Linked DNA regions of Drosophila melanogaster. The gene in region 2 interacts genetically with the main gene of each other region. Each region holds a gene or a part of one and is shown on either strand. Other genes may lie near its edges.

What was found.
Region 1: of PolH (region 2) and nopo, changing one suppresses a phenotype caused by changing the other (phenotypic suppression), as found in Drosophila melanogaster (one study listed by BioGRID).

Annotation. Positions count from the first base shown.
Region 1 is NT_033778.4:18,178,567-18,183,768, reverse strand, and holds nopo (no poles), read right to left. Parts: upstream 3,153-5,202; 5' UTR 3,048-3,152; coding exon 2,932-3,047; intron 2,873-2,931; coding exon 2,657-2,872; intron 2,599-2,656; coding exon 2,245-2,598; intron 2,185-2,244; coding exon 2,127-2,184; intron 2,072-2,126; coding exon 1,952-2,071; intron 1,896-1,951; coding exon 1,692-1,895; intron 1,630-1,691; coding exon 1,390-1,629; 3' UTR 1,250-1,389; downstream 1-1,249. Other genes in the region: CG5721 (uncharacterized protein), read left to right, coding at 1-1,228; CG5726 (uncharacterized protein), read left to right, coding at 3,937-4,298.
Region 2 is NT_037436.4:21,937,333-21,943,792, reverse strand, and holds PolH (DNA polymerase eta), read left to right. Parts: upstream 1-1,980; 5' UTR 1,981-2,023; coding exon 2,024-2,455; intron 2,456-2,509; coding exon 2,510-3,006; intron 3,007-3,064; coding exon 3,065-4,793; 3' UTR 4,794-5,159; downstream 5,160-6,460. Other genes in the region: CG14562 (uncharacterized protein), read right to left, coding at 1-47; SLC22A family member, read right to left, coding at 5,276-5,473, 5,539-6,460. UniProt on the Drosophila melanogaster protein: DNA polymerase specifically involved in the DNA repair by translesion synthesis (TLS). Plays an important role in translesion synthesis, where the normal high-fidelity DNA polymerases cannot proceed and DNA synthesis stalls.

The DNA.
Region 1 (5,202 bases), on a different chromosome or scaffold from region 2:
CGGCCAACCTGTCATCAACGAAACGGTGGACAAGATCAAGGAGCACATTGGCCAAAAACTGGAGGAAACAACGGAGCTGCTGGAACAGCTGGCCACCTTGGATGCTGAGTGCAAAAAGTCGCTAGCCCATAGGGTTCTAGCCGGCAAAAATGGAGCCCACGATGCCCTGATCACCCTGTTGGAGGAGACGCTCTCTGCTGAGTCACCCAACGAATCCGTGTTAAAAAAGTCCTTGGAAGCCATCAACAGCCTGACCCACAAGCAGCCGGATCTGTTTGATGCCGAGGCGATGGCCGTGGTTCTCAAGTTACTGGCCCTCAAAGTGGAGAGTGAAGAAGTCACCCTGTTGACTCTTCAATGGCTGCAGAAGGCCTGCATCATGCATGAAATGAACCGCCAGAATATCATGAATACCTCCGCACTCAAACTCATGAAGCCCCTTTTAGGGAAAGGGAAGGACCGCCTGGTGCGTGAACTGACCGCCGTCTTCCGCTTCCTAGTGCTGGATGATGACATTCGCGTTGAGTTTGGATGCGCCCACGAGCACGCCCGCCAAATAGCAGGCGAGGTGCTCATCACCTTGGTGGAACTTTTGCCGGCCTATCAGGATCCTAATGTTCTGGCTGATCTTCTGCTGACCATTGGAACACTGGCTGTGCGTCAGGAACTCTGTACAGCTATCGACGAGGCTGGTGGACTGAAGTCCGTCTTCGAGATCATGAGTTCGAATTTGGATGAGGTGCGTCTAAATAGAGAGGCCTTAAAGTTGCTACGTGCCCTGGCTGGCCAAGACTCCGTGAAGTCACATATAGTACAGCAGGGCGTGGCTCCTATAATAAAGCAATTGCTAGAGACGCACCAGTCCAATGAAAACATCGTTGCCGCCGCTTTGGCCTGCGTGACTACTCTGACACTCCGAGTGCAGGAACACAGTGCCGCCTTTTTCGATACCGGCATCGCCGAAGTAATCGTGGAGGCTCTTCGCGCCCATCCCAAACACAAGATAGTCCAGCGAAACGGAGCGTGGGCCATCCGCAATATGGTGTCACGGTCGCGGAACCAGTGTGAAACCTGGATCTCCTTCGGCGTTGAGGATCTACTAAATATGGCAATGAAGGAGCACCCCAGTGTGGAGCAGGACATCAAGGCGGCGTTGCGCGACCTCGGCTGTAGTGTCCACTTGCGCGAGGAATGGACGGGCACGGCGGAGAAAAAAATTGCCGCCTAATCGCACACACATATGCCTTTTGTATTTTTATATATTTACTGCTAAATTATTACTATTGCTTAATTCATGCATTGGCTAACTAACAAAATCGGCAATCCTCAATACCAATCGCGTGCTAATACCCAACTGGGGCAGTCTCTTATGATCACATGGCTGTGGACTTATTTGCCCAGGTTAAAGTTGCGCAGCGAGCCGGCTTTAAGACGCTGGTTGACATTCCGGGAAAGGGCGGTCGAGGATCTGATTGTGGAAAGACCCTCTTCCTCGGCGCGCTGCGCAAAGGGGTCAACCTTCTCAGAACCGCCCATTCCATTGTAGACAAAATTTGAGCCCGTCGTGGCCGTCAACGCAGAACTACTTGAACTTCCCAGCAGCAGTCTTGGCTTCTTGAAGATTGAATACTGGGGGAATATACGGAATTTTTAAATGGTTAAGTGGAATTCGGCAAAATTATTGCGTTTACCTTTTCACTGAGATCACTGCTGGTTTTCCGTATGGTTCCGCTGGTCATAGACACACCGCCACCGACTCCCTTGATGGGCGATATTTTAGACTTGGCCAGCCCAATGTTACCCTTAGTATTAAGAAGATGCGCCAACCCGACGCTGCTGGATTTAATGTTGAGATATGGGGAGGTGGATTCTTCGATGCGCTTAATATTCTCCTTCTGTAGGGCAGCAAAATATTAGTAGCTTATATTTTCGTTTATTCGTGTCTACTCACAACTGTAGGGGAAATAGTGGTACGCCTTTCCTCCCTTTTAAGGGCCAAAATGTTGCTGTTCAGACCACAAGAGGCATTTGGTGAGTCCAAGTAAGCGGTCTTGTTCTCAAAAGCTTGTAGCTGAAAAGATAATAGTATGTTTAATCGAAATTGTGTTAAAGAAGGCTCAGCAAACCTTCTCCTGCGCCTGGTAAAGGTCGCTCTCCAGGTGTGAAACACGCTCTTCCAGCTTGCTGCAATCGAATGAGCACATATCAATTATAAAAACCACGTTTGGAATGTTGTGAGCATACCGCTTTAGTTCGATCTCCTTTCGCAGATCATTCTGCACCACCTTCACTACATTCCTGAGCTCCGTCTTTTTGCTCTCGCATTGTCGCAACTCCCTCTTGAGAGTGGACACCCAGTTGGCTAGGACATGTGGATCAGCCTCGTTCTTGAGCAAGCGGTCGGCATCCGCCGAGCCAGCCGCCAGAATAGCCGATATGCCTTCCATACTCTGGATCTGTGATTTCAATGTTTTGTTTTCCTTGCGCAACCCATCAACGACATGGGCATCACTCTTGAGGACGCCAATTTGCTCGACATAGCTGCTGATGAGAAAATCCTTCTTTTGCACCTTCTGCTCCAAACCGGCTATGGTTTTGCTGCAAATGAGAAATGCATCAGTCTGGTACTTAAGGCAATGTGTATACAAAAGCATACAGGCACTTCTTTTGTGTTTCCTTCAGATCCCGAATCTGCTGTTCATCCTTGTTGCGCTCTTTTTCGACCATTTTCATGGACAACATCGCATTGTCCAGCTGCTCCTGCAGTGAACCAACATCGATGTGGCTCACATCCAAGTTGGCCAGATTGAAATAGACCCTAAATATGTTGCGGGTAGTGCACTTATTCCGGCACTGAGGACAGGTCTTTGATCTGCGAAAGATATTTGATTTTATTGTCGGGAATCAGAAATATCCTTATGCGTTGTTTACCGATCGAGCCATTGATTTAGACAGTTGTGGTGGAACATATGACCACAAACTGTGGCAAAAACCTCGTCGGCCTGGCCAAACAATTCGGCGCATATCACGCAGTTTAAGTTCAACATTTTTGGCACAAATAACTACATAAAAATAGTTATTACAAAAGAACAACAAATAAACGCACGCCGAACAGTTTGCGCGCCCAACGAAACACAGCTGACTGATGGCGATTTTACGATGCTCCAATGAGCGGAATTCACCACACCAGTATTTGTCAAGAATCGATTGTAGACAATAACTGTTAGCTGATAGATATTTCCACGACAAACTAATTGCTAACTAACTTGGCTTAAGTCGAAACAACAAATAATGTTTACAAATACGCTTACTCAGCCACTGAAACTAAAATTCATCCTAAATTTTAGAAAGATATGTATGTGTGGATACTTTTTAAACCCTACTTCTTAAGATATACTGTGGATATAAATTTCATATTTTATTCTGCCAATCCATCTTAAATCCAGCTACTTATGCTCCGTACTTTAGCCCCATGGTGGTCTTATCGATAACAGCGGGAGCACTGTGGCGCTATTTACGAAAGCACACCGTGTGCTTTCGATATCGCGACAATGCTATCTAGAGGTGGAGAAACATCGATGTTTTAAAGAACACAACACATCGATGTTTTTCCACCTCTTTTAAAAGTCGTCAAATAGCAATAATAAATAGGAATAGTTATAAATTTGTGCATTTAATTTCGTTCGTTATTTGCGTTTCAATCGACCGTGGGTCCCAGTGAGCTAACTGCACCTGCACCCAAAGCGGAAGCTGAGCGAAAAGGTGTTTCATTTGGCGTGCGCATTTCGACACCTTTGTCAACGCTGATTCTTATTTGGTGGACCGACGACTCACACACACGCGCGTACCAATATAACAGACACTGAAGTGTGTGTGGAAGGGACAGACAAACAACCGTGCGATAACAACAACAAACGGCAGTGATCGCGGCGAGAAATGGAAATGGCCAACAACATGGTCAGCAGCAGCAACAGTGGCGGCGGTGGCAGCAGCAACACCACCTCCTACGGCAACAACAGCTACAACAACAGTGCGGTGGACAGTGGTCACAGTTCGCACAGTGGTGTCGGTAGCGGGGGCGGTGGTGAGGGAACGGGAGCGCGCCTCCGGGATGTTTGTACCATCCTGAACACTGGCCCCGCCGCCTATCAAAATCAAACAGGTGGCTATGCCTACGACCACATCATCGCCCTGATGAGGAACCTTGATCTGCAGGACGATGGCATTGTGCTGAACTCCAAGATCAAGACCATCGAAACGGACTTCTGCAACATAGTGCGCGACGAGTCTATGCTTTGGTATGTGTGCCGATCTCTACCGTTTGGTTGGTTCGCTCATTGATGATTAATCATATCATAAGTAGTGTGTTTATTTGCCACCTCTTTTCGCATATACATATGGATGTATGTAAATACCCGGCGTAGGTACAGTGCGGTGCGATAGCATATGGGCAAGGCGAGCTCCCAAGCCCATCAAAGCCAGCCATGTGATAACAAGACTTAATGCATGCAGTACATATCTGCCTGGCGAAGACCGATCCTTATTGTAATATTTATGACATTCCATTACAAGTAGCATGAGTAATTCGTTAAATTTGGGAGCTTGTGGCGTTCGCCCATAGGTTACAGCATTCTATAAGTTATTCCAATAATGAAATGCTTGAAATGCAGAAACCGAATTACTAATCAAGTTCAAACGTTAATTTGTTTTTACGCGTTCAAGAACCCTTGGGTTCTTAAAGTGCAACTTTGTAAACTTTTCTTCTTACTTCATTATTTTTAGGTTCGAAAAAGTTTTTGCGACCTTCTACATATACATTTCAATTTTATTAAATGTCTAAAAATCGATTTATAAATCTGAAAAGCACTGTATTTGTGTATATGTGTTCGTGCACGAGTTCGTTGTTTGCGACCAGGTTGCTCGAACGTCAGCGTGTCTTGAAAATTTACAACTTTTCATACAAATAAAGACGGGCAGAGAGACATCGGCGCCATCGAATCATTTCAAAGTGAACATTTTTCCCTCCGATTCTCTCAGGCTCATGCTCGAGTTAATTGCTGAACAAATAGTTCGCAGCTTGGGCTTATCAAACAATGCTGCTATGCGTTATATCAGTGGGGGTGTTAAACACAGTTGTAGTGCAAACTTTAACATTATGAAGTAGTAGTAGACTTGATTATTATAACATACTAATAAATGAAA
Region 2 (6,460 bases):
TACGTCTGCTGCCTGGCAAAGTTGTAGGCCTGCAGGATCTTCACCATGGTGGCTCTCTACAAAAAAGACGATGAATTCTTTTTTTACGGCACTCTAGAATTACAAACTAAGCCCTCAGCTTAGTGGAGTGACTTCATCGCCGGACGTACACAGACTGATGGCCTCACCGTGAATCAGCCACTAGAGCAGGGAGTTCTCTGACTGAGCGTGGGACAGAGAAAGGGAGAAGTCCGAGTGACAGTGGATTGGCGGACCGCTTAGCGGGGCTCAAGTGGTTCTTATTTGGGCATGTGAACCATTAGCATAATTGTGCGCTTATACTGGGGTTAGGGATCGGAAGAGTGGATGTGCCGATGAGGCCTAAGGCTAGCGCATATGGGCAAGCTAGGCTAGGATAGGGCAGTTAAAAAGTGAAGCACTTAAATTTAATAAGAGTTAGCCGCAGAATATTTCGGGATTGTAGATAAAGTCGCGATCAAAATTAAATCTTTAATCGGTAAAAATTTTGTTAATCTACGATATATGTATGTATACTATCTGGAGTCACAAAAAGTAGGGAAGCAAATAAAACTGTGATAAATACATTTTAAATTGAAAATCCAAAAATATCACTCGCAGTACACCTTTTTCATTCACCATCCGTCTTTCAGAATCATAGATATGCAATCGAACTTTTGAACACCTTTTTTAAAAGAGAGAGTGGTACATTTGGTAAAACAAGAACCCGTCCCAACGTCGTGCGGCATCAAGTATTCCAATAGGTCAGTGCTGCACCTTTACTTCAGGTGGAAGTCCTGCGTTGTTGTATTGTACGCTTTGACCATAGAGTAAACAGACAGGAAATTAGGTCACGATAGTATACAAAAACACGCCCTTCCTGATTTCCGCCGCCCACCACCACCGGCATTCTATGAGGCGATTAAAGTGGGCCCGGTATCCCAACCCCGATTCCGAGTAGCTATACGTGAGTTAGCCCAATTAAGCCATTGGACATTCGCTGGACATACCACTCGGCGCATCAATCAAAACAGCCGGCCAGGAGGCGGACACGGAAGTGGCATAGCCGGAAATAGACAAGGATTGAGATTTATTTCTGGTCGCTCGGTCAAATCAATAATTCCCGCGTAATCCGTGCGTTAACCCAAATGAACTTGGGAAATGGAGAAGCCAGAACATGCAAATGTGTGTTACGGCGGGGAATGGGGTCACTAAGAGATGTGTGTGCGTTTTCAGTTGCATTTTGGCAGCGGCTTATATGGAAAAATCAATATCTAAGCATTTTGTTAGAAGGTGCCGCTGGAAACTTGGCAAATAATTTACTCTTTGGCAATGTCTTACGTTTAAACTCGTTTTATTATTCCATACAGAAAAACAGAAGACAGGGTTTAAGGATTTCTGAAATGCATTCTTCTTCGGCGTAGATGTTCCGACAATATATGTTACTTATTATTAGGTGGTAGTTATGCCACGTAAATATAACTCCCAGGACTCCCCGGACTGCACATAATATTTACTCGCGTTTGTTTATATTATTTCCGAGTGAGAAACGACAAACTATAAAATATCCAATATAGTGTGACCAGGTTTTGCTCTAATGCGAAGTACGGATTGGGTAGAGATAAGTATTTTTCAAACTACGCTAGACTACAAAGCATCGATACAAGGGTACGTTATTTAATACTCTCTAATTTTGAATTTCTAAATAGCTTAGTAATAAGAGAGTCTTTAAAAGTATAAAGCTCCACTACTATCGAAAATATGTTTTCAACAAAATTCTTTACTTTTACTTTAAGGAATATCTAACTAAGAAATGATTTATATCGAAGATATAACACAACTGCTTTGATATGTGTTAAAGAGCATATTTTTATTATTATTATTCCGAATTCTTTTATCAGATTTAAATATGGGAAACACTTTAATGTATTCAGTATTCAAAAATGCATCGGTATTTTAAGAAGTCCCCGCCACGGCCACACTCCTGGCGCGCAGTGAAATTCGCGCAATAATACGAAATGAAATCATGTCCAGCGCACGCAGCCATGTCAGCATGCAGAACAAGTACGACCGCGTGGTCCTGCTGGTGGACATGGACTGCTTCTTTTGCCAGGTGGAGGAGAAGCAGCATCCGGAATACCGCAACCGCCCGCTGGCCGTCGTCCAGTACAATCCCTGGCGAGGTGGCGGCATCATAGCAGTGAACTACGCCGCTCGTGCCAAGGGAGTCACTCGCCACATGCGCGGCGACGAGGCGAAGGACCTGTGTCCGGAGATCGTGCTCTGCCAGGTGCCGAATATCCGGGAGAAGGCCGATACTAGCAAGTACCGCGATGCCGGCAAGGAGGTGGCCAACGTGCTGCAGCGATTTACGCAGCTCCTGGAGCGCGCTTCCGTGGATGAGGCGTACTTGGACATAACGGAGACCGTTAACCATCGCATGCAGCAGATGCAGAGTGTAAGCTCTGGCACATAATTTTAAAGCGTTTTATTATTATTTTCCTCGTTGCAGGGAGCCTTTGCATTGCAACCGCAGGAACTGGTGAACACCTTTGCTGTGGGCTATCCCAGCATTGGCGACTACGTCAACAAGATAACAAATCGCTTCGCCAATCCCTACATGGACGACGAACGCTACCAGATGTCCTACGACCAAAACGACCTTCCCGCCGTCCGACAAAGCGACATTCGGCTTCTTATTGGAGCCTCTGTGGCAGGTGAAGTCCGCGCGGCTGTAAAAAAAGAGACAGGCTACGAGTGCTCGGCTGGCATAGCGCACAATAAGATCCTGGCCAAGTTGGCAGCTGGAATGAACAAGCCCAACAAGCAGACTATTTTGCCGTTGACGGAGACCGCCAGCCTCTTCGACTCCTTGCCTGTTGGCAAGATCAAGGGGCTGGGTGGCAAATTCGGTGAGGTGGTGTGTGAGACATTAGGCATAAAGTTCATGGGCCAGGTGGTCAAGTTTTCGGAGGTAGATCTGCAGCGCAAGTTTGACGAGAAGAATGGGTGGGTCCCTTAAGAGGAGTAGACCACGTTCAAAGTAACTTATTTCCTCTTATTCCAGAACCTGGCTATTTAACATCTCTCGCGGCATAGACCTGGAAGCCGTGACTCCCCGCTTCTATTCGAAAAGCATTGGCTGCTGTAAAAAGTTTCCGGGTCGAAATAACATTACGGGGTTGAAAACCCTTCAACATTGGCTTGGTGAGCTTTCCTCCGAGATCAACGACCGCCTTGAGAAGGACTTCATCGAGAACAATCGCAGGGCCAAACATATGGTGGTGCAATATGTGCAGGACATTGACGGCGAGGAGGTGGCCAGCTCCCGCTCGACTGCTCTCAGAGATTACGACCAGGAGTCCATCGTAAGGCTTTCTCTAGACCTAATCAAGGCAAACACTAAAACGTTTCTGCGTCCTGGTAGCGAGTCTGCTTTAAACAATGCTATCAAGTTCCTTGGCATTAGTGTTGGCAAGTTCGAAACCGTCTCTAGTGGGCAAAACAAGCTGCAGGAGATGTTTGCTAACCAGGCTGCCAAGAAACGAAGGGTAAGTGGAGATGAGCCAGGGCAACTGCCTAAAGTTGAAATGGAGAAAAAGCAGAAGCAAACGGACGAATTTAAGATGAAGAGCTTCTTTGCAAACTATTTGCAAGGAGCTAAAAAAGAGGATGCGAAAGCAGACGGCATTTCTGCGAATCCCTTGGCTGCTGCAGCAGGTGCTCCAAACAAGAATTTCGTAGAGGAATACAAACATAAGCTTCATGCGGCCGTAAGGACTGAAGGAACTGTTCTCACATCAACACCAGCGGAGTTCAAGGAAAGCTTTTTTTCACAGTACCTAAAACAACAAAAAAAGACAGGACAGCAAGGGTCGGTTACATCGAGGGAGGACTCCTTAGATGTGCAGGAGCTGGCCGAGGAATTGGACGCCATTGAGGCTGACAATTCGAAAGATTTTGAAGAAGACACTGAAGAGGAGACGGAGTTAACTAGTGATACCCACATGTCTAAGCCTGAAGGACAGTCATCCGATGCCGGACAAGAACAGGATCCAAACACCTTGAATGATTCAACAGGGAATGACTTATACGTTGAAACTGGTATTGTGCCTCCCACGCTTACTGAAGACGAATTGAAGCCTTCAACATCAAAAAGAAAGTTCGATGAGATCGAAAGTTCTGTAAGTAATTACAAGGAGTGTTACGTAGAGTTTGCAGTACCCAACCTTCGCACCGATATCTTGCCTACTATCAAATGCGATCAGTGCGGAGCAAACATTCCCGACGAAGTTAAGTCCCTACAAACACATAGAGACCATCACTTCGCCCAGGAACTAAGCCGAACGCTAAGAAGCACCGAGCGGGAAGAGAGGACGCAGAGCCGACAGAAGATATCTCTTAAGCCGACGCCACCCAAAAAGAGCAAGAAGACGGCTGGTTCTGGTAGCAGTTCCTACAGTACGGCACCACCGAGTAACAGCATAACCAAGTTCTTCCGCGCCAAACCAACTCAGGAGCAAGCGCCCAGTGATCCACAGATGAATCAGTGCCCCGAGTGTAAGGCTTTCATCAAGTGTGTAGACATGCCGGAACACTTAGACTACCACGTAGCCAGAAACCTTCAACGTGAACTAAACCAGCAGGATCTGCGAACTCGAACCGCAGCTCTGAATAAAGAAAAAATATCTCCAGTTCAGCCAAAGAAACAATCTCAGAAGAAACTGAACTCAACCATTTCTGCATCTTCAAGCGGAACAAAGACAATTGCCCAGTTTTTCAGCCAAAGCAATTAGAGAAACCCTTACACCGCTCCAAGTATTTGAACCTGTATAAGTACCTACGAATGGACCACAGACAAATTTACTTCACTTTAAGATTAAAACATTTTCACATTCAATTCCAAATTAAAAAACAATAATAATTTTTTGCTAGCACATATCCTAGTTATTAAAATCTCAATCTGGCTCTGGACAGCAAATTGATTAGGATTGTTTATTTCTTTTTTTTACTGCTGTTTATTATTTTTTTTTTCAAATCGAGTAATGAAACTCTTAGATTTAATTTTTTTTGTTTTATTTTTCCAATTTTAGGCTTAAGTATTAATGTTGATCATTACCATTACCATCCATCCGTTAATTAATAAAACACAACGCTCTGTCAATGCTAAATATTTTATATGTATAGTATGGTTTGTTCTTAGCGTTATAACACATTTGAAGAGAAATGTATTTGTCTTTGTATTTGCAGGCTGCCTTAAAATAAGATTACGTTAGAACTACTGCGCTTGAGTGGCCGTGACGACTAGATCAAGATCCTTGCTCTTCGATTGCTTCTTGACGCCTATGGCGTCCGCTTCCTGCACTGTTGTAGGTAAAACTACGTTGGTGGTCTCTGGAAAGAACAGCGTGAGCAGGCCGCTCACGATGGCGGCGCCGGCGAAGAGCATGGCAGGAGCATTGGCATAATACTTGGCCTGTGGAGAAAGGGAAAGGAAGCACTTAGATATAACAGGAGATCCTTGTAGCTTTGAGCACCCACCAGAAGAGGCGTCTGCGGGGCCAGCATGGAACCAAACCTGCCCATCATGGAGCAGAAGCTAAGCAGACTGTTTCTCAGATTCGTGGGATAGATCTCTGAGGCGAAGAAATAGAGCACCTGGAAGCTGGCAGTGATGGTCAGTTTGCCAACAAGAAATAGCACCAATTGAAGCACTGGCTGATCCGCGCCGGTGAATATCGTTCCGATGCAGCAAAGACCGCTGGCTAGCATCAGCCCGCAGAGGGAGTACCGCCGGCCGAAACGGTCCATGATGAGCAGGGGCATGAAGAAGCCTGGAATCTCAACCAGGGCGATGTAAGCGAAGTTATTGTACTTGTCTCCATCCAACAGCACAACATTAAGGCTCAATCCGTAGTAGACCAGCACGTGGACAATCCAGCAGAGGGAGCAGTTAGCAATGCGCCACTTGAAGTTCTTGAAAGCCTCTCGTATGGGGAAACGGCTTTCCGACGACTGCTGCAACTTGTCCCGATTGGCCAGCACAAGCTTGTCCAGCACGCTCTCCGGCAGCTCGCGCTTGTTCACATGGGCGGCTCGCCGAAGGATATTCTTGGCCCGCTCCTCCTTGCCCTGACTAAGCAGCCAGCGCACACTCTCCGGCAGGATCCAAAAGTAGGCCAGCAAGATCAGCGAGGGCCCGTACGTGATGCGCAGTAGGATCCGCCAATCGTGGAACGCCTTGGCGGACATCGCGAGCAGCACCTCACCCACCGCGTAAAAGACCGTAATCACACTGCACGCCAGCACGCGTCGCTTGGGTCCCACTAGCTCGATCCCGATCACGAAACAGGTGGAGTACAACGTACTGCTGGTCATGTTGTCCAGGAACTCGAACACAAGGAACCAACCGTAGCTGGGCGAGAAGGAGCGAATTACGCCAAGCACGGCTCCCAATATTCCG